Notamacropus eugenii: one gene and its partner. The protein of the gene in region 1 purifies or fractionates together with the protein of each later gene. This does not show direct contact. Links are inferred from orthologs where the notes say so. Each region holds a gene or a part of one and is shown on either strand. Other genes may lie near its edges.

Evidence for each region.
Region 2: the proteins of GDI2 (region 1) and RAB1A purify together in Homo sapiens (affinity purification with mass spectrometry; 6 studies listed by BioGRID and IntAct, counting the BioPlex papers as one, with this or other methods). This does not show direct contact. The link is inferred for Notamacropus eugenii from reciprocal best matches to the Homo sapiens genes GDI2 and RAB1A.

Annotation. Positions count from the first base shown.
Region 1 is NC_092874.1:209,606,962-209,617,183, reverse strand, and holds the start of GDI2 (rab GDP dissociation inhibitor beta), read left to right. Parts: upstream 1-6,249; 5' UTR 6,250-6,586; coding exon 6,587-6,631; intron 6,632-6,805; exon of another isoform or gene 6,806-7,435; intron 7,436-10,222. UniProt on the Homo sapiens protein: GDP-dissociation inhibitor preventing the GDP to GTP exchange of most Rab proteins. By keeping these small GTPases in their inactive GDP-bound form regulates intracellular membrane trafficking.
Region 2 is NC_092872.1:639,181,117-639,192,159, reverse strand, and holds the start of RAB1A (ras-related protein Rab-1A), read right to left. Parts: upstream 4,343-11,043; 5' UTR 3,025-4,342; coding exon 3,002-3,024; intron 1-3,001. UniProt on the Homo sapiens protein: The small GTPases Rab are key regulators of intracellular membrane trafficking, from the formation of transport vesicles to their fusion with membranes.

The DNA.
Region 1 (10,222 bases):
AAATGTAAGTCATCTGCCACTGAAAGTTCAAGAAGAATTTACTGAGTTACCAAGTGGCCACAGGTTTAAAACTTGAGTTCTCTCAAAAAAATCATTGAATGAATTTTGGTTTGGGATTACGACAAAATCTCTAACAATTTCTAAAATGGTCCTAAACATGCTTTTGCTATTTTGTATTATGTATTTATGTGAAGTAGCATTCTCAGCACTGAGGATTATAAAATCAAAAATATCCATCAACTCTGAAAAATGTTGAAAATGCTCTACCTCCTGCAGTATCAAATATTCTGCAAAAATTTAATTATTTATGTAAAAACAAACAAGCACATCATCCCATTAGTATGCAAATTTGTTCATCTTTAATAAATAGTAAAATTATATGTTTTGCAAAGAATTGTTTTAAAATAAATTTTTTATGATTTATTATCAAATAAATGTTTGTCAGAAATGTTTGATGTGATCAGTAAGTGTATCTTATTTTATATACCTATATGTCACATAAAAATTTCTCAGGTCATGAGTGGAAAACATTTAAGAAGCCCTTTTCTAGAGTAATGGTGTTAAGCTCAAATAGAAACAGGGGTCACTAAACCTGTGGGCTGAAAATCAACTCAGTTTTAAACTGCAATATTATATATGTTTTATTGTATTTTTATATATTTTTGTTAAATATTTCTCAATTACATTTTAATCTGGTTTGGACCCCACTTGGGAGTGTTCTGGACTGCATGAAGCCTGTGGACTGCATGTTTGACACCTCTGTTCTAGAGGTCCTTCTACCATTTGAATGCTTTTTGTGCTTTTAATGAAAAAATAGGAGTAGTACTAAGAGGAGGAAGAGGAAGAAAAAAGAAAGAAAAAGAAAAATTTTTTAAAGTCAAAACAAAACACACAGAACAATAACAAAAGAAATTAATGCCTCTCCCTCCCCCCATCACCCCTCCCCCCCACAAAAGTTACCATAGAGAAAAAGAAAAAAAAATGCAAGAAATCTTTGACTTTCCCTATTCACTTCAGAAGGACCAAATCTCAGATCTCAAAGATCTGGGTAATTCCAAACATTTGCAGTTCACTGTGAGTCACATGTTGCAGCTGATGACTAGAAACAATACCATTAGGAACATGGGACAGATGATGAAACTTCCAATACAGTCACACACAGACTCTTCTCCCATTGTAATGATGTGTGAGAATGATAAGAACATCAGGGACACAGCACTGATGATGACGCTTCTGGCATAGCTAATAATTCTTCATCACATGTCAGTTATCCATAGAAAGTGATTAAGAGATAATAAACTTCTCTCATAAAACCTGTCCAGGACTAGCTTGATACCCAGACTTTCCCCCATAGCACCGCCCACCTAACTCAATATTCCCTGGCACACATGCTAAAAACTCCCCCTTCCTGGGAACCACATTAAGATCCGTCAGTCAGTTAATTAGTCAATAAACATTTATTAAGTGTCTGCTGGGTGCCAGGTACTGTGGTAAGAACTGGGAATACAAAAAGAAGCAAAAGGACAGTTCTTTCCCTCAAGGAACTCAAAATCTATATACAAGTAAGCTATATAAATAGGATAAATAGGCATTACAGAAAGCATTGGAATTTAGAAGGGGTGGGAAAGACTTCTTTTAGAAGGTAGGATTCTAGTTAAGATTTGAAGAAAGCCAGGGGAATTTGAAAATTCCAGGAGGTGAACATGAGGAGGGGAAGCATTCCAGGCATGGGGAACAGTCAGAGAAAATGGCCAGAGATAAGAAATTAGGGAGGGGGGGATGCGGAGAAGGAGAGCTATGCTAGGTTATGAATGGCTTTGAATACCAGAGAATTTCATATTTTATCCTAGGAAGCCACTAGAATTTGAGTTGAGGAGTGACATGGTTGATTGAACCTGTGCTTTAGGAAAACCACTTTGGTGACTGGAGGATGAAATGAAGTGAGAAGAGACTTGAGGCAGGTAAATCTACCACAAAGTTATTGCAATAATCCAGGTGTGAAGTGATGAGGGCCTGCACTGGAAAAGGGGGCATATATTTGAGAGATGCTGCAAATGTGAAATTGACTGGCCGTGGCAACCAATTGGATTTAGAGGGTGAGAAGTAGTGAGGACTCAAGAATGATACCTAGGTTGTAAGCCTAGGGGATTGGGAAAATGGTGTTATCTTCTATAGTAATAGGGAAGTTAAGAAAAGGGAAGGGTTTGGGAGAAAGATAATGGGTTTAGTTTTGGACATGTTTAGCTTAAGACGTCTACTAGGTATCTAGTATGAGATGTCTGAAAGACAGGAGATAGAATGGAGATCACCAGAGAGGTTAAGGCTAGATAAATAGATTTGAGAATTATTAGCATAAAGATAATTAAATTCATGGGATCTGATGAGATCACCAACTGAAATACTACAACAGTATAAGAGAGCCCAGGATGGAGCCCCATAGTACAGTGGGACACATACTGCTCGAGGACGTGATCTGGATGAAGATCCAGCAAATGAAATTTTCCTCTTCCTCTTTCCTCAGTAGAGAGGCACAGCAGGAGATGGAAGACCTGAGGTCAGGGGGAAGCGTTCTCTTCTTCACATATGAAGGGAGGTGGGTGAACAGGCTAACAGGTGGAGCAGAAGGTAGAAGTTACCTTGTGCTGGTGCAAATGGAAGTCTCCTCCAGATAGCCCCTAGGAATCTAAGCCTGGAAATCAGGCCTGGCCAGCATTAGATGGAAGATGTGGTCAGAGGGAGGTCATTCCTCTTCTCACCTGCGGCTGGAGATCAGGTGTGAAAAGCATGAGGTAGAAGATAGTCAATACACATTTATTAAGTACCTACCAGTGCCAGGCACTGTACTAAGTGCTGGGGATGCAAACATCCTTTTTGTAGATGATAAAAAATTCCTTTCCTCCAAGTAAATATACATTCACTATTGTAGGTGCAGCTAGTGGACCTGCTGGTGGTGCAGGTCCAGTGTTGGGATGAAATGAGGCATCCTAAGTCACTGAACATTTAACAAAGAATTAACAGAGCAAGAACATGCAACAAGGAAGAAATGACACAGCTTCTTGCACTTTCCTTTTGTCTTCATCTGGAAATGAGTCTGTTCAGTATACCATCTGTCCAGGGTTTAGTGACTTGCAAGATCTTAGGCACTCACCAAGTCTAAGAGTCTCAGACTTCAAATGGGTGGGACTTTTTATGCCCCAAATGATCCAGAAGTCATGTCAGGGAAACTGAGGCAAAACTGTTATAAGGGACAACTTTGTCCTGTCAGATATATAGCAAGGCACCTTTCAGCAATACCACCTACTTTTCCCCTTAGGTGTTGTCAAAAGCACCCCAGAGGAAAGAATATCTACCAGTCGGGAGGGAAGTTGTTGTTCAGTTGTTTGAATTGTCTCCAACTCTGTGACCCCATTTAGGTTTTCTCGGCAAAGATAATGGTTTGTCATTTCCTTTTCCAGCTCATTTTATAAATAAGGAAACTGAGGCAAACATGTGACTTGCCCAACGTCACACAGTATCTGAGGCCAAATTTGAACTCAGGGAGATGAGTCTTCCTGACTCCAGGTCTGGCACTCTATCCACTGTACCACCTAGCTGTCCTGTTGAGAGGGACCTAAGCTATTTCTCCAGGACATTCAGAGCCCTCTGACAGGGCAAGGACCACAAGACTCATGCCACTTTGTGCTGGGCAAGAAAGCAGAAGGACAGCTAGAACTATGTCCAAAAGCAGTCCATTCTTATCAGGTAAATCTCTGGAGACTAGATGCAGGAAACCACTGGAATAGAGGGATCTTCCCCTTCCTAGAATGGTATTAATTCATCACGAGCATGATTTCTGGGTGGTCAGACATCTGACCTGGGCAGTCAAGTGCATGATAATGGAGATACTGGTTGGCAGGAACAAACTCCTTGCCCTAAGATTGTCTATGAGGGATAATGATTTCAGGTGGGTATAGGCTGAAGACCACTTAGGTGAGGTAGTTATTCCAAAACACAGAAGTTCCCCTGGGCAGTAACATCAGCCAGAGAGTAAGGAGTCAAGAATTCAAGCTTGAATAACTGGGAGGATAGTGGTATCTTTGACAGTAACGGGGAAATTAAGAGAATTTTGCGGGGACAGATGGAGTTCATTTTTGGACATGTTGAGTTTAAAATGTCTAAGAAACCCACAGAATTTGAGATATCCAAAGGGCAATTGGAGATATAAGACAGGAGGTCAGGAGAGACATCAGGGCTGGATAAATATCTCTGAGAATTATCTGTAGAGAGATGATATGGGAACTGATGAGATCACCAAGAGAAGCAGTTTAGAGGAAATCTTCTTGGCCCCAAAACAGAGGTTTTGAGAGAGATATTCATAGTTAGTGGGCATGACCTGAGTGAAGATGCAGCAAAGGAAATTGAGTAGGAGCTATGACATAGGAAAGAAGAGATCCAGGAAAGAACACTATAAGGAAAACCTAGAAAGAAGAGAGTATTAAGATGAAGTGGGTCATCAATAGTCTCAGAAGCTGCAGAGGCAAGAAGGTTTGAGAAAAGGTCGTTAAACCTGGAAATTAAGAGATTAGTGGTACTCTTGGAGACAGCAGTGTCAGTTCAAAAACTGATTCTGGTAAAAAACCGGATTGCAGAATTAAAAAGAAATTCAAAGGAAAAGAATTAAAGGACTGATTATAAATGGCTTCTTCAAGGAGTTTAGTCACAAAAAGGAGAAGAAATATAGGATGTTGGCTAACTGGTATGGTTAGCTCAAATGAGGGTTTTTTGAGGATGAGGAAGATATGGGCAAGCAGCTGGAAAACTGCCAGTAGACAGGGAGAGACTGAAAATAACTGGACGGGTAGGGTTAGGGTGGGGCACCATGTTGGAGATGGAACTGGATTGCTTATGCAGGTAAAGGCATTTGCCTTGGTAAGTCTTCCGGTGGGACAGGTCGGAAGGGGAGTTTGTGGCAGAAAGCATCTGAGTGATATGAAGAAGACAGAAGAGAGACGCTCACAGTAAATGGCCTCAACTTTTTCTTCAAAATATGAAGCTAGGTTTTCAGTTGAGAGTCTAGGGGAAGATGGGAAGTTTGAGACGGGAAGAAAACGTCTGGAAAAGCTATAATGGTGAGTGGGATAGTGAAACCAATAGGAAAATGTAAAAAAAATTGATTGCATTGCCATAGTGAGGACCCAGTTGAGAGTAAAACACAAAAATTTGTCATGGACCAGTCGGCAACCAAATTATCCAAGGTAAGTTTTCAGAAAGTCACTCTTCTGATTCCATTAGTTCCATCAGCTTCTTCCAACATCACTTTATAGCTTCGTAGGTCTGTAAATTGAGAATTTCTCTGCCTATGCAGATACTTCTTGCAAGAGGGAAAGTCTGCCATGAAAACCAAATTAAAAAAAAAAAAACCCCAAAGGCAAGTAGAGGATGTTAAATTTCTTTTAAACTGCAGAGTTGCCTACTCTACTACAACTGCTTATTTTTATAGAAAATCATTCTAGATTATATCAATTTAAACTGAAGAGCCTGTTTTTATATGAGACCCGCTGCCTTTTTTACAAAAGATTTAAAAAATTTTTCCTTTGAAATGCACATTTGCTGTTTCTCCTACTCTTCCTGGGACAGGCAGAGTAAGGGACTTTGCACTTTGAAGCAGGGAGGGAGTCACATAACAGAACCGAGGATCCTGGGCTGCAGTCTGCTGCCCAATCTGTCCACTTCACCGGCTCCTCCAGCGCCCTATTGCCTTCCATCACGCTGCACTGGCAGCTATCCTCCGAGTCAAACCTTTCATTTAAAAAAAAGGAGAACGAAGCAATCCTCCCAAGGTCACAGTTGCCAGGTTTGTCCCCATCACCCGGTGCATCCTTTCCTCCCCTCCCCCCGAGTCCAAGAGGGGACTTAGAAACAAAGGGGAGCTCAGAGTCCAAGGGCGAGCAGCCGCTGCAGGGGCCACAGCCAGACCATTGGGGCCGCTGCCAGATGCCAGCGCAGCGCTGCCCCGCCCTGTCCCTGAGGGCCCGGGCGCTAAACCAAGCGTCAGGCCCCGGCCCACTGGCGGGCCATCTCCGCCTTTTCCCACACCCACCACGCTAATCCCTCCAGCAAGCAGAGCTTGAAACGGGGAGGGCGGGAGTATGGAGAGAGGAAGAGATTCGGAAAAGGAGGAGCTCAAGCCTCGCCCGGTGCCGCCTCCCTCTCGCGTGGAGTGAAAAGGGAAGTACAGTAACGAACGAGCCCGGCTCAGCCAATGAGAGCGCGGCAAGAGAAGCGGAAGGCCCGTGATTGACAGCAACCAGGAGCCGCTCTCTCCTCCAGAGTCCGCCCCCTAGGCTGCAGCGGCCGCCCCGCCCCCTTTCCTGCTAGGCTCCTCCTGCTTACTCTTCCCGCAGCCCTCGCTCCTCTTCTCTCCTCTGTGGCAGTGGGCGGTTTCTCCTCCTCCGTGCTCCATTTTATATCTTCTTTCTGCGCTCGCCGGACGGCGCGTGGGGCTTCGCTACTCGCTGCTTTTGGCTTGTTTTTTCTCCCTTTCTAGCTCTTGACCCGCCTCCCCTTTTTTTTTTCTCTCTTCCCCTTTCATCCTCTGACTCCCGCCATGAATGAGGAGTACGACGTGATCGTGCTGGGCACCGGCCTCACGGTGAGGACGGGGAGGGGGAGGGGAGGGGAGGAGGTTGGCCCGCTGGGGGTGGGGGCAGGCCGTGACCGCCCGCAGCGGGGGAGGGGAGGAGGCTTCGCTCCCGGAGGGCGTGAGCAGCGAGGGGGGCAGGGAGGGAGAGGGGCTCCCCTGTCGGGAGCGCGCGTGGTGCGGCTCGGGCCCGCGGACCGCGGCCCCCGCCGCGCCTTCTAACGCCCGCTTCCTCCAGCTTCCTGCTTTTATTTATTTGGCCGTGTCGGCGCCGTTGGATCCGACACGCGCACACGTACCCGGAGCTACGGTTTGATTGGCGTCTCTGTCCTTCCGTATTGAAGGACCCCTGGAGGGGGCTGCTTGTCCTGTGATCGCGGAGCTCTTGGATCTGGCAGCTTTTTCCTTCAGATGATGAGCTTTTGGGAAAGGCTGCCCCGGACACTTAAGGTTTTCGGCAGTTGGGGACGAGGACGCTCAGAGGAGCATAAGTGACCGTGTCCCCACGTCCTCGTGGCAGCCTCCCCTGCCCCTTTTGTAGGAGGGTCCAGGAAATGGTTTAAATCAGTGAAGCGGAGGAAGAGGTCTGGAATTAAACGGCCTGCTTCCTGCAAAGGAGAGGAGACTCGAATAATTGTAACTAAACTGAATTCCAAGCCTCTTGTGACTTTTTCCCCCTTTGGGTTGATGACCTCTCCGGACGGGAGGCAGGGTGGAAATGGTTCCTTCAGTGACTAAAATTCACTCCCCTGCAGCAGTGAGCAGGCAAAGGGCACTGCATGATGTGAGAAGCGATGGTCAGCGAATTCTGAAAAGGTCTAATGGGGGCCAAAATGCTGCGCCGAGTTTGTGGGGTTTGGCAGAATCTAGTTGCCCCCCTTCTCACTCTGGTGTTTTGGGGATGCCTTTCTTACTGCACGTTTACAGGCGAGAAATGAGAAAGACTTGCTGTTGATTTTTTTTTTCTCGTTTTCTTCTATTTGGTCTTTTCTCTTTTCTACTAAGATGTGGGTTAATGAATAGTAAAAGGCACAGATAACCCCATGACAGCTTCTTAGGGGACTTAGAAGAAAAATCAGTATATGTCTATGTGAGTGCTTTCTTTACTCCATGAATGGCTTTGCCTAATTTAAATGGTTTGTGTGGAGGAAGGGGACAAAAATGTGCTTTTAGGTACGTCCTTTAAGGACTCCTATGTTGTCTTTTTTCCCACCAGAGTTGAATATACTTCATATTTTAGCATTCCCATTATTGCATATTTTTCTCAAAAGATTATGGCTCTTTTTAAAAACATTTTAAGTTGGATAATTAGGATCCCATGAATGCTACAATAGAAAGATATCAATAAAAGGCTTTTCTGTGACCTTGGCCTATTTTATTGAATTTCCTAATTGTTCATACTTTGGGGTAACTTAACTCAGCAAAAAAAAAAAAAATACAGAAAAAGTAAATAAATTCTCTCTGTTACATATCATTTTACAGTTTATTTTAAGCTAAATAAATATTTGTTGACTGGATGAACAAATTAGTATTCATAAGAAAAGCAGTGTTGGAGGACAGAGTGGAATTGATTTGAACCTCGCTTTTGTTTTATAATCAGTAAGCAATATTTGAATGTATTTTGGTTTTCGGGTATCCTCTAGAAGACATACTCATATACCAGTATTAATCACTTTTGATTGATGTTAAAAGGACAATTTTCAGTTTTCATTTGATTGGTTAACCATTTACAAAATAGTTACTAAAAATTAATGTATTGTTTTTCAGTCTATCACTTTAATATTTATATTGATTTTTTGTATTTGTATTCCTCTCCATCACAGTGGATCAGACAAACTAAAGTTGCAAACTGTAGCTATCATGGGGATTGAAAAAAGGGGTACCAATTATGAAATTATTTATCGGAAAAATCTTTTTAATGATTTTTGAATTTTAGAGATTGAGTTGAATCTCTGTGTGGTATATTGGGAAACGACCAGACCTTTAAAGAAAGCAAACTTGTACACAGTTGTGGTGGGTTAGATCAGGTAGCAAGTGCATAGTACTAAGTCCATCATTTTGGACTTAGTTTCTTGCACAAACCTTTATTTTGCTCTGTGGTTGTGGATTTTCAGTGTTTTTCACTTAAAAGGGTAGGCAAGAGTCAGCATGGGTTCATCAAAAAACATGCCAGACTAAAGTCATTTACTTTTAGTGTGAGGGTAATTAGATTTGGAAAATGCTTTGGATTTGGAGTCAGGAGAGATTTGGTTTTGAATCCTGACTGACATTTACAAGTTGTGTCACCATCAAGCAGTTCACTGAGTTCCAGTGTTCTCTGTAAACTGTAAAAATTATACCTGTAATTTTTACCTCACAGGGTTAATATGATCTTCAAATAGGAATATGAAAATGCCTGAGATGCATCTTTTGTATTAAGAGTCTGGAACTACAAAGATAAAAATTAAATATATTGTGCTCACTTCAAGGAGTTTACATTTTATTGTTGTTCAGTCATTTTTAGTTGTGTCTAACTTTTTGTGACCCCCATTTGGGGTTTTCTTGGCAAAGATAATGGAATGGTTTGTCATTTCCTTTTCCAGCTCATTACACAAATGAGGAAACTGAAGGAAACAGGGTTAAGTGACTTGCCCAGGGTCACACAGCCAATAAGTGTCTGAGGCCATATTTGAACTCAGGAAATGAGTTTTCTTGACTGTCAGCTATGCCTCATTTAGCTGCCCCTTACATTTTATAGGAGGAGATAATAGGTACAACACACATATATAAGGTCATGCAAAATAAATAGAAGGTAATTTAGGGAAGTGCTAGCGCAGGGGTGGCAACCTGCAGCCTGGGAGCCACATGTGGCCCTCTTAGTCCTCAAGTGTGGCCCTTTGGATCCAAGTCTAGATCCTCAACTACAGCCCTTTGACTTGAATCTGAAGTTTGGATTCTGTCAAAAGGCCATACTTGAGGGCTTCAAGGTTTCACATGTGGCTTCAAGGTTGTAGGTTCCCCACCCCTGTGCTAGATGTTAGGAGCTAGGGGAATTGGGGAAAGACATTGAAGGTGATATTTGAGCAGAGCTTTGAACAAAACTCAGAATTCTAAGAACTAGAGATGAGGAAAGTACAATCTAGGCATGGAGGAAAGCTTGTTCATGGCACCAAAATGGGGTGTCTTGTTTGAAGAATATCAAGATAATCAGGTTTAACCATAGTGTGTTTGAAGGAGAGCAATGTATTATAAGACTGGAAAAGTAGGTTGGAGTCAGGCTGTGAAAGGCTCTAGGTTGGGAGTGTTTAGTCTGAAGAAAAGATTTAGGGCTTATATGTGTTAGAAATCTTTAAATATTTAAAGATATTCATATAGATAAAAGACATTAGGCTTGTTCTGCTTAGTCCTAAACATAAAAATCCTAATGATGAAAGTTACCTAAAATTAGAATGCTTTGCTATTCTCATAGCATGGTGAAATGGAGAGAGAGCATTCTTCAAAGTCAAGAAGACCTGGCTTCTGCCTTTCACACTGAATGGCTGTGTGACCCCTGGCAAGTAACTCAGCCTCTCAGGGCTCTAGGCAGCTCTTTTAGGCTGTAAGTTCAGAGACAGTGCCAGCCTG
Region 2 (11,043 bases), on another chromosome or scaffold:
TTTATTAACTCAGAGCAAACATTTCTAAGTACATAAAAATATTTGACTATGAACTTTCAGGACATTGTTATGAAGAATATTTATTTATCCACAAAACTAGTGTCAGTTTAAATTAGAAAAAGCAATCTGAAAATTCAAGAAAAGTTGGGGCAGCTAGGTGGCACAATAGATACAGCACTGGCCCTGAAGTCAGAAGAATCTGAGTTCAAATTTGGCCTTAGACACTTGACACTTACTAGCTGTGCGACCCTGGGTAAGTCACTTTAACCCTTATTGCCTCACCACAAAAAAATAAAATAAAAATTCAAGAAACGTGTTTTGCAAAGTCTGACTTTTCTAATCTGGTTGCTGACAAGTTACTGGTCTTTTCCACTAAATGTTATGTCATATCCCAAATAATTTTCACCATCCACTCTTAAGATTTACAACAACTTCCTCTTTCCAAACTCCCTTCTACTTCAATTGGACCCACTATTAGACAGTAAAAGTGTGGTCATGGGTCAATTTTCTGTGCTAGGATGCAACCAATAAAAACAGTTATCATACAAAAAAGGTATCCTTGCAGGGCTTCTGCTCAAGCTTTTAACTTCATTAAAAAGCCAATATATAGGTAGATACATTTCACACCACATTTATTAACTTTAGTCACAAAAATGTGAAACTCACTTTAGAAATTCCAAAGCACACTTTAAAAATATTGGCTCTTCCTCCTTTTCATCTTTGCCCAACAATGTTTCACTTGCCTTGCATACGTCCTCGCCTTTCCTTTCCACTTATCAGAGTCCTACCATTCCATCAAGAAGGGCAGTTCAAGTGGCTCCTCCTACATGAGCTTTCTCCAGACCATGGTGATCTCTTCCTTCCTATGCAGTGCTCATAAAGCAGTTATAAATTATAGTGTAAGACAGTATGTTTACCTCTAGTTTCTAATTAAAATTGCAAAATCCCTAAACGCAGAGTCTACGGCTTACTTCTGTTCATAACTCAAGCACCTTATAAACAGTGATCAAATTTGGACTAGCAATTCTATGATAGTTACCTTTGAAAGCTTTCCTAAACAACCTATTGAAACTTTGATTTTAAATAATAATCATAATAAACAACAATAATCTTACAGTTTTCAAAGTACTTCACCATATATTACCTCATTTAACCCTCAAAGCAAACCTGTGGTATGGATTAGGCAGCTATTAATACTCCCTTTTTACAATGAGGAAATAAATTTTAAAAATTAAGTAACTTGCCCTGGTCTATTTAATATCTGATTATGATGTTAACAGTAGTTTTCTCTTAACTACTTTTACATAAACTGAATCTTGCGTAAGGAGCGCCCTAAGCAGCAAGGCAACCAACTTCTAAAGCAATGGCTAATCAGTGTTTCTGACTGTGGCCAAGAAACTGCTAAGGAGTAGTTAAGGACACTAGTCAACTCTGCAATTTTGTTTTCTTGGGGCCCCTTTTCCTAGAACTTTGTAAGGAAAGGTGAAACTGCAAGACTGCAAATCAACTAGCTACATCTTAAAATATGCAGAATTCGAATCAAATATGATGCCTTCTCTGCAATTTAATACAAACCAAAGGAAACATTTCAGTACCAAACCACAGTGTTACAAAACCTGCAGTCAGAATGCATTTTGCAAGAGCCATGTGACACACACATGACTGTCAGCTAAGCTGATGGGTTGACCAGAGGGGAAGGGGATAGGAGTACAGGGAATTTAGCAGTAGAACTTCAAATTTTAAGAAAACACTCTAACATTAATCTTTCCTTCTGACATACCGGTTTATTTTAAAAGCATCCATTTCAATCACATCGTTACTATTTGAGTAATTTTACATGTATTGAGGGGAGGAAATTGGGGGGTTTGGGGAAGAACGACAGAATTTTCCCAAGAAAAGTGAATTCCAGTTACTAGGAAAGGTGCCAAGTATGTCACATCTGCTGTCGCTGCTTCTCAATTAAGCAAGAAAAAGAAATGCATTAACTTTTCATGACACGTCATGAAACCTCATTCCTTATCTGCAATCATTCAGGTAAGGTAATCCAAAACTTGCAGATCCACCAGTTTCTCTCTCTACTATAACTGTAAGGATGAGGACAGGGACAAGACCTGTGATTTCAGCAGCACCCGGAACTCTTAAGGGAAGAAACTCCCTCTCCCCACACAGGCTAGCACCTCCTGGGCAACTCTAAGGGGCTCGGAGAGCGGCGTGCCCGGGGGCCCAAGGGTCAGCGCGGAGGCCGGCTCTCCATCACCCTCAGGGTGACAGGCTGCCACACTCGGCTCGTCTGACACGGTGACGACGGGGAGGTGCGCTTGTGCCTGAGGTTTTCCTTGGGTCCTACAGAGAAGTGTTTCAGAGGCGATGGAGTCCTTCCGGCCCGAGTGACCAGGTCCTCAGGAGGGTTTTGGCTCCTCCAGAACACAGGCTCGGAGAAGTAGGGGCATTTTAAGAGCCCCTCTCCTCTCCCCACGGTCCCTGAGGAGCGTCCATGTTCACCTGCCGCCTGGCGGGGCCCCAAGGAAGGAAGGCAAAACAAGCTCCGGAGAAGCGGAGCCGTTCCCCTCTCCTGCGGGGGGCTGACAGCACCCCACCCCGGCCCCCCCGAAGTACCCACCCGCTTCGCGGAAGTCACCTCTCTCAGAGAAAAGAAGCCCTCAGCGGGCCCTCCGAGGCAGCCTCTCACAACCCCCCTTTCCTTCCCGGGCCTGCTTCGGGGAGCCTCCATTTCACCGGACCCCGCCCCCCCCTCGGGTCTTGCGGCTCCCTCTCAGCCGCACCCCCTCCGCCGTCAGACAATGGGGCCCGCCAGGTCCGGCTCGGCCCGGCTCGGAGCGGCGGGCCTCGCTCGGCTGCGCGCCGGTGGCCTACGGCTCGGCTCGGCCCGGCTCCGCATCGCCTGGCCCGGGCCCTGCGCTCCTCCTCTTCTTGCCCGGTGCCCGCCCCTCACCGCCCGGCCCAGCCTCGGCCTCGGTCCCGCTCCCGGCCCCTCACTCACTATTCGGGATTCATGCTGGACATGTCACTGCAGCTGCCGCCGCCGCCGCCGCCACCTCCGCCCTTGGTACTGCTGCTACTACCGCCGCTGCCGCCTTGATTCTCCGCGCCCGGAACCGACGAAAAGGAATGAGAAAGTCCGTTCCGGGAGAGCAAACGTCTACCCCCCTCCGCACCCAGTGAACACAATCAGCTGCCACTGCCGCCGCCGCTTCTGCCGCTCGACTCTCGCTTCCACCCAAAATGGCCGCCGCCGAACCAGGAAATAGGGAAGCCTCAGACCGAAGGGCCTTTACACAGCCCAGAGGGCGGCCGCACCGCACTGCATGCCGGGCAAGATAGTCCAGGCGCGCGCCTGGGGGCCCCGCAGCCAGATGGTTTGGCAAGACGGCTGGGACTCGCTTTCCCGACGAGCCCGGCTCCTTTGGCGCATGCGCATTGAGGGAGCTGTTGACCACCCCACTTTACCCCACTTCCCCCCCCTTTCCTCTCCCTTCCCGACCGTCTCTCGGGAGAAGGCTCCGCTCTGACTCCCCCTAGCGGATTGGCTAAAACTGAGCGGCCTCGGTGATGTCATCAGTGAAACGTGGCAGCTGGGCGAGTCAGCGACCTAAAGGAGAGGGGGAGGTGTCAAGGGAGGGGCTGAACTGCGGGAGAGGGGTGGGGCGAGAAGCGAGGGGCGGGGAAGAGGAAGGGAGAAAGGAGCCGGGAGGAAGGAAGAAAAGGGAAGGGTCCAGCTGGAGAGGAAACCCAAGGGGGAGAAAGCTTTAGAACGGCCGCTGAGTGGGAAGCCGCCCTGAGCCGGCTCGCTCTAGGGCCTTAATAGACGATCCCTAGGAAAAGACTTTGAAAGGGGCTGGGAGCAAAGGCGATGCCCCGGTGGCTCTGCGGCGCCGCGGGGAACTCTGGAATTGTGTTCGGGTCGGACCGCAGCGGTCCTGACTCCTCCCTCCCCCGCCCCCACCTCGGAGCAGACACGGTCTCCGAAGTCTCCTCTCCAGTCCGCCGGCCTCTCCCTGGTCTAGGTGGTCCGGTCGGGGCCTCTGATACGCTATGAGCTGGCTGACCTTGGGCCAGTCTCAAGCCTCAGTTTCCTTATCTGTAAAATGGGGACTATTTGCCCATCTGGGTTGATGGGAGGTAGCTCTTTGTACACCTTAAGAACCTAGGAGTTATGGCCTTTAATGATCAAGACCAATATTTTAAAAAAATTGTATATAACATATTTTTTCAATTAGCAATAATCTGCCTTCTCACCCTTCTACTCCAACCCTCTCCCCCCCCACGCACACTTGTGAACTAAAGAACAAATCCTGTTACATATAGCCAATAAAAACAATTCCCACACTGACCGTGTCCTTTAATAAAATTGTCTCGTTTTACACTCTGAATCCTTTTTTTTTCCTTCTGAAACCTCTATCAGGATGTGGATAGCATGTTTCATCATTAGTCCTCTGGAACTGTGGTTAGTTATTAGCTGATAAGAGTTCCCGGTTCTTTCTCCACCTTCATTTAACAACACATGAGGGAAGTTGCTTATATCATGCTATAAATTGTTCTGTTTCGGTTCACTTGGCATCAGTTCATACAAGTCTTCCCAGGGTTCTCTGAAACCATCCCCTTCAACGCTTCTTACAACACAATGGTATTCCAAAACATCATAATTTGTTCATCCATTCCCCAATTTATGGGTGCCCCCTCTGATTCCCATTCTTTGCCACCTCAAGAGAACTTTAAATATTTTTGTACAAATTTAGAATTTGTTTTGCTTAAAACTAACCCCTCCCTTAATCTACCCTTCTTCCAATTTTCCCTCTCTACTTCTCCCCTTTCGCTCCTATGTTGAATAAACTATATTTCTGTAAGCAGATGTATGTGTGTGTATGTTCTTCCCCATTCAGATGAGAGTGAAATTGAAGTGTGAGATGTTCTCTCCTCCTCTCTTCTTTGTTTCTGTAGATATCTATTTGTACACCCTAATTATGTCAGATAATTTTCCCTAATCTTCCTTCCCCTCCTCTATTCTCTTACCTTCTCTTTCCATTTTTCTCTTAAGGTCAAGAGGTAACAGAACTGCTCCTAGACTTTGTAGAGTTAGACTCCCTTTATGAACCCTGATGATAATAAGGTTCAGAGGGTATACATATATCACCTGTCTATAATAGAATGTAAGCAGTTAAGTCTTTGTTTAGGCAATTATCATTGTTTGTTCATATTGACCTTTTTATGTTTCTCTTACCTCCTGCATTTGAACTTCAAAGTTTCTATACTGACCTTTTCATTAGGAATGCTTAGAAATCCTTTATTTCATTACAGATCCATTGCCCCCCTTGTTGCATTATATGCATTTTGCTGGGCAAGTTATTCTTAGCCTCTAATTCTTTTCCTTCTGGGTGCTAAATCCTGTGTGATCCTAACTGTTTGGTATTTTAAATCTTGCTTTCCGGCTGCTTGTTGGATTTTTTTCTTCAATCTGGAAACTTCGGGGTTTGCTGTGATGTAGCTGGGAAATTTCATTTGGGAGCTTATTTCAGAAGGGAACTGGTGGATTATTCTTATATCTACTTTCTACAAGATGTGGTCACTTACCTTTTTTTTCACTCATGGTGTTCAGATAGTCTAATCTTCAATTTTTTCTACTCTTTTGTAGGTCAATTGTTTTCATTTTGAGCTACTTTATATTTTCTTCTATTTTTCAACCTTTTGATTTTGTTTTATCATCTCATTGTTTCATGGAGTTATTGGTTTCTTTTTAGTCCATTTTATTTTTCAGGGAGTTTGTTGCTCAGACAAGGTTTTATACTTCTTGTCCCACACTGTTAATTCCCTTTTCCAATCCTTTCAGAAATTTAATTTCTTTTCCATTTTTTTCTTCAAGCTTTTACTCCATTAATAAAAGCATCTCTCTCTGTCTCTCAGTCTGTCTCCCCCTCCCCCCCAGCAACACTACCCTTGTGTGTAGGACTGTGACCTAAAAAAGTGTAGTAGGCAACACAGATTTCAGTGGGCACCCGTTCCCATTACACTCCCCTAGTATGGATCTGGAGGTGCCTAGTTTAGGTCTGGGATCCCCTCTTGCCCTGAGACACAGTCTCTCCTTGGATGCTCTTTTCCTAACTTTATCACTCTCTATAGGAATCCTTTGTTTCAGTAAGATTGATATCCTTGTTCCTTCCCTGAGTATGCATTACCCACTCCAGGCAACTGGTCTTCGCTCACTAATTCTCTTGGCTAGGCCTTTCTCTAATTTCTATTCCCTTTTCTACCTCCACCTTGAAGACTTCTTTAACTACTCCAGCTAACTTCTGTATTCTCTAACCATTTAAAGAAAGCACCACTTATATGTACCAGCCACTAGGTACTTTATAATATAGGATGTCCCAAAAGTCTTAGTGTACTTTAAAGCTTTACTAATTCTCTTGAGCCTGTCAAGTAAGCAAGGAATTGCCTGCTATGGAAGGGTGGGAGGAAACAACCATTTGTTAGGCACATATTACATGCCAGGTACCCTGTTAAGTGTGCTTTACAAATATTATCTAATTTGATCCTCACAACAACCCTGAGAGGTAGGTATTATTAAATCATTTTATAGCTGACAGAGGTTGTCTATCTAAAGTAGACAGGTTAATTGAGTTGCTCAGATTCACCCAGGCAGTAACTAACTGAGGTCAATTTTGAATTCATGTCTTCCTGACTCCAAGGCCAATGCTATTACCTAGCTGCCTAGTCCCAGGCTTCTTGGGTCCTCCACTCCGTCCTCCTCCCTCCTAGTATGCTCCGTGACCTCCTGTAACTCCACCTCTACTAGGCCCCTCACCTGAGCCTGTAACCACTTACATACCTCCCTCTGTCAATGATTAACAAATTCCTATCCAGTCATACTCTCCCCATCACCATGACTCTGAACCATTGAAATCCACGTTCTGATTTGTTCAAATCCATTCTGATGATCTGGGTGGCACAGTGAATAGAGAGCAGGGCTTGGAGTCAGGAAGACCTGAATTCAAATGTGTCCTCAGACACTTGTGTGTTTGTCCTTCGCTGTCAAAGAAGACCAGGCCATCAGAGAACTAATGATGCGACTTGCACTTGACTTTGCCCTAGGCAAGTCACTTAACCCTGTCTGCCCCAGTTTTCTCATCTATAAAATGGATATATTCATAGCACCCATCTCCTAAGGTCATTGTGAGGATCAAATGAGATGAGATTTGTAAAGTGCTTAACACAGTGCCTGACACATGGAACTCTATAAATGTTAACTTCTATTACTACTATTATCATTATTTCCATCTTCTGCAATCCAACTGTCCCCATCCCTCAATGTACCACTCGAAACCTACCTCCCTCCTTCCACTGTGTTCTTTGGAATATCCACTCCAGAAGTAACAACTTGCTTTCATTTTAAACCCTTTCCTTTCTCACTCCTTTGGTCTACAGAAACTTACTGAGATCTGACTCCCTCCTAATAACACAGCTTCTCTGGCCCCCCTTTTCCACACTAACTGCCCTTTCATTTATACCCCAACTAATCATGGTAGGGGAATTAGAATACTCATTGCTCCCTATTGTCACTTCTAGGCTCTCCATTGATCATTAAGTAAACGTCTCCTTTGAGGTTCACTGAATCTATATTTGCTACCAATCAAGAGTCTGGCAGCTGTTATTTACCAACTTCAAGGACACCCTCCTCTCTTAAATGACTTCAGTGCCTGGATCACAGTCTCTTTCTCTGTCTCTCTCCCTCTCCTGCCCCGCTTCCCCAATTCCTACCCTCACACTAGGGGAATTCAACATACACTCTGATATTGCCCAAAACACCCTAACCTTCCAGTTCCTCAAATTTGCACATTTCCTATGCCTGCTTCTCCATCTGACCTCAAGTACACACAGACGTGGTCATACCCTTGATTAAGCCATCTCCCACATGTATGTTCATGAACTTCCATGTTTAGGAATTCTGAAATTCCTTTATCGGATCACAGCCTGTTGTCATTTCATCTCTTCCCCTGCCTTGCAATCCCAAACACTATTCTTTGTCCTCATTGCAACCTCGAATCCTTCTACCCCTCAGCCTCTTTCCATGGCTATCACCCCTTATACTCACTATACTCTCCTACTTTCCCCATCTTGACCCCCTGGGAAACCAATTCAAGTCCTCACAGTCATCTTTCTCTTATTCTATTGAAGATCTTGACCTTCCAGGCCTTAGCTCTGGATACTCCCACCATCCAACACCTTTTCTCCTCCTCTTGTGCTGCTAAACTAAGCTGAAGGAAATCATGAAACCCTGCTGACTGGGTTCACTACAAATTTATATGTAAAATCTCAGGTGGGCCTTTTTTTGCCTCAGCAAGGCAATACTTTTACACCTCCTTGATTGACTTGCTATCCCACTCAAGACAGACACTTTTCCAAACCTTTTCTGCCCTCCTGGAGCCTCTCATAGCTCCCCCTGCCCCCAGCCATCTCAGGTAAGGACCTCACCCTAAGGACTGAAAACATTAGGTTCATTCACTGAGAGCTCCCTCTTATCTCTTCCTCCTCCTCTCACATGACTCTGATGCCTTCCCCACCATCTCCTCCTTCAACCTGTCTTCCAAGAAGAGGCCCTCCCCCTTTCCCTTCTCCCTCTCCCTACACAAGGGATCCTGTTCCTTTCTTCTCCAGCAAATTGTTCCCTCTATCATCCTTACTCTCTTATTAATTACTTCCATCTCTCCTGGTCTACCAGCTATCTCTCTGCTGTCGATATACACAGCCATTTCTCCCCATCCTTAAAAAACCCCTCACTCATCCCCAATATCTCTCCTTGATTTCATGGCAAAACTTCTAGAGGTCATCTGTTATCAGGATTTCTATTTCCTTTTTCAGTCTTCTTAACTCTCTGGAGCAGGGGTGGGGAACTTGCCGCCTGCTAACATCTGGCTTCTGACCTGATCATTCCACTGAAACTGCTCTTTCCAGACTTACCAATGTTCTTATAATTGCTGACCCTAATGACCTTGTCTCAGTCCTCATCTTCTGGGACATCTCTGCGTGCACAGCCTTTAATACTCTCAATCACTCTCTTCTCCTTGATACACTCTCTCTCCCTCTCTTTCTCTCTCTCTCTGTCTCTCTCTGTCTCTCTGTCTCTCTCTGTCTCTCTCTCTGTCTCTCTCTCTCTCTCTCTCTCTCTCTTTCTCTGTTTTGTTAGTAACAACAATAGCTAACACTTATGTAGCACTTACCATGTTCTAGGTACTGTGCTAAGCACTTTGCAGTTACTATCTCATTCATTCCTCACAACAACCCTTCAAGGTAGGTGCTATTATTTTACATTTTACAAATGATGAAGCTGAGGCAAATACCCACTGAGTAACTTGCAAGGACCGCACATCTAGTAAATATCTGAGGCTGGATTTGAATTCAGGCTTTCCTGACTCCACATCTGGTACTCTATCCACCTAACTGCCCTAATAGGTTGTTACACTACTGTCTCCTGTTTCTCCTACCTTTCTGTCTGACTGCTCCTCAATTCTTTTGCTGGATCTTCATCCAAGTCGTTCCTGCTAATCATCAAGACTGTGTCCTGGACCCTATTGTCTTCTATACTATTTTATTTAGTGACTTCATCAACTCTCATGGATCAAATCGTCTCTATGCTGATGACTGTCAAATCTACTTATCCAGCCCTAACCCCTCTGAGAACCCCCAGATCTGCATTCACAATTGCCTACTTGACACCTCAAAATAGATGTCCTGTAGGTATCTTAAGAATCCACATATCTAAAACTTGGTGTCTTTCTATAGATAATCCTTCCTAACTTCGCTATTACTTTTCAGGGTACCTCCATCCTCCCAGTTACCTCGGCGTACAATGTACCTGTTATCCTTGACTTCTCTCTTTCTGGAGCACTGACCTCATCTTCAATTCGTTGCCAAGTGCTTATTGAGTCCATCTTCACAACTCTTGTATACGTCTCCTTCTCCTCTGACACTACCACTACTTTGGCACAGACCCATACCACCTCGTTTCAAAAGCCTTTTCGTTTTTCTGACTCCCTCACTCACTCTCTCCCAACTCCAGTTTATCCTCCATTCAGTTATCAGTGACCTTCCTAAAGCACAGTTCTGACCATGTTGCCTCATCCCTGCCATTTTCAATCAATTCCAGTGACTTCCTCTTGCTTCCAAGATCAAGTGTAAAATCTTCTGTTTGACTTTCAAAATCCTTCATAACCTGACACCTTTCTACCTTTGTAGTCACATTTTATGGTCTTTAATCCCCTGCACATACTCTGTGATCCAGTGTCATCGGCCTCCTTGCTGTTTCTCCCATGAGACACTCCATCTCCCATCTCTGGTTGTTTTCGCTGGTTGCCCCCCATAACTGAAAATTTCTCCCTCTTCATTCCTGACTCCTGACTTTTCTGGCTTCCTTCAAGTCCCAGCTATAATCCTACCTTCTATAAGAAGTTTTTCTCAATTCGCCTTGATGCTAGTGTTTTCTGAGATTATCTCCAATTTATTCTGTATATATCTAGTTAGCATGTTGTTTTCCTGCCAGTAATAGACAATGAGTTCCTGGAGAGCAGGGATTGTTTTGTTTTGTTTTTTTTAATTCAGAGGAAGTTTGTTTTGGCCTTCCTTTGTATCCCCAACCCTTAGCACAGTACTTGGCACATAATAGATTCCTAACAAATGCTTTCTGACTTGACTTGGCTCGACCCATCACTCTCTCTATCCCATGTATTCCAAACCTCCTCTCTTCTCTGACTTCCTACACCACAGCCTCTAGCTCTCCCCCTCAGCAAATGACTTCATCTCGTTTTTTACTATAAACATAGAGATTGTACATTGTCCCATTTCCATTGTCCCACTAGAAGGCCCCACATTTCTCTACTCTACATCTCATCTACATCCCTCTTAGGCATCTGCCATCTTCTTAACTCAAGAGAGCCTCTCCCCTCTCCAATTCATTCTCCCCCACAACTTCCAAGTGGATATTACTAAAAAACCAAATCTGAACGTGTCACTTTTCTACTCAAAAATCTTCAGTGG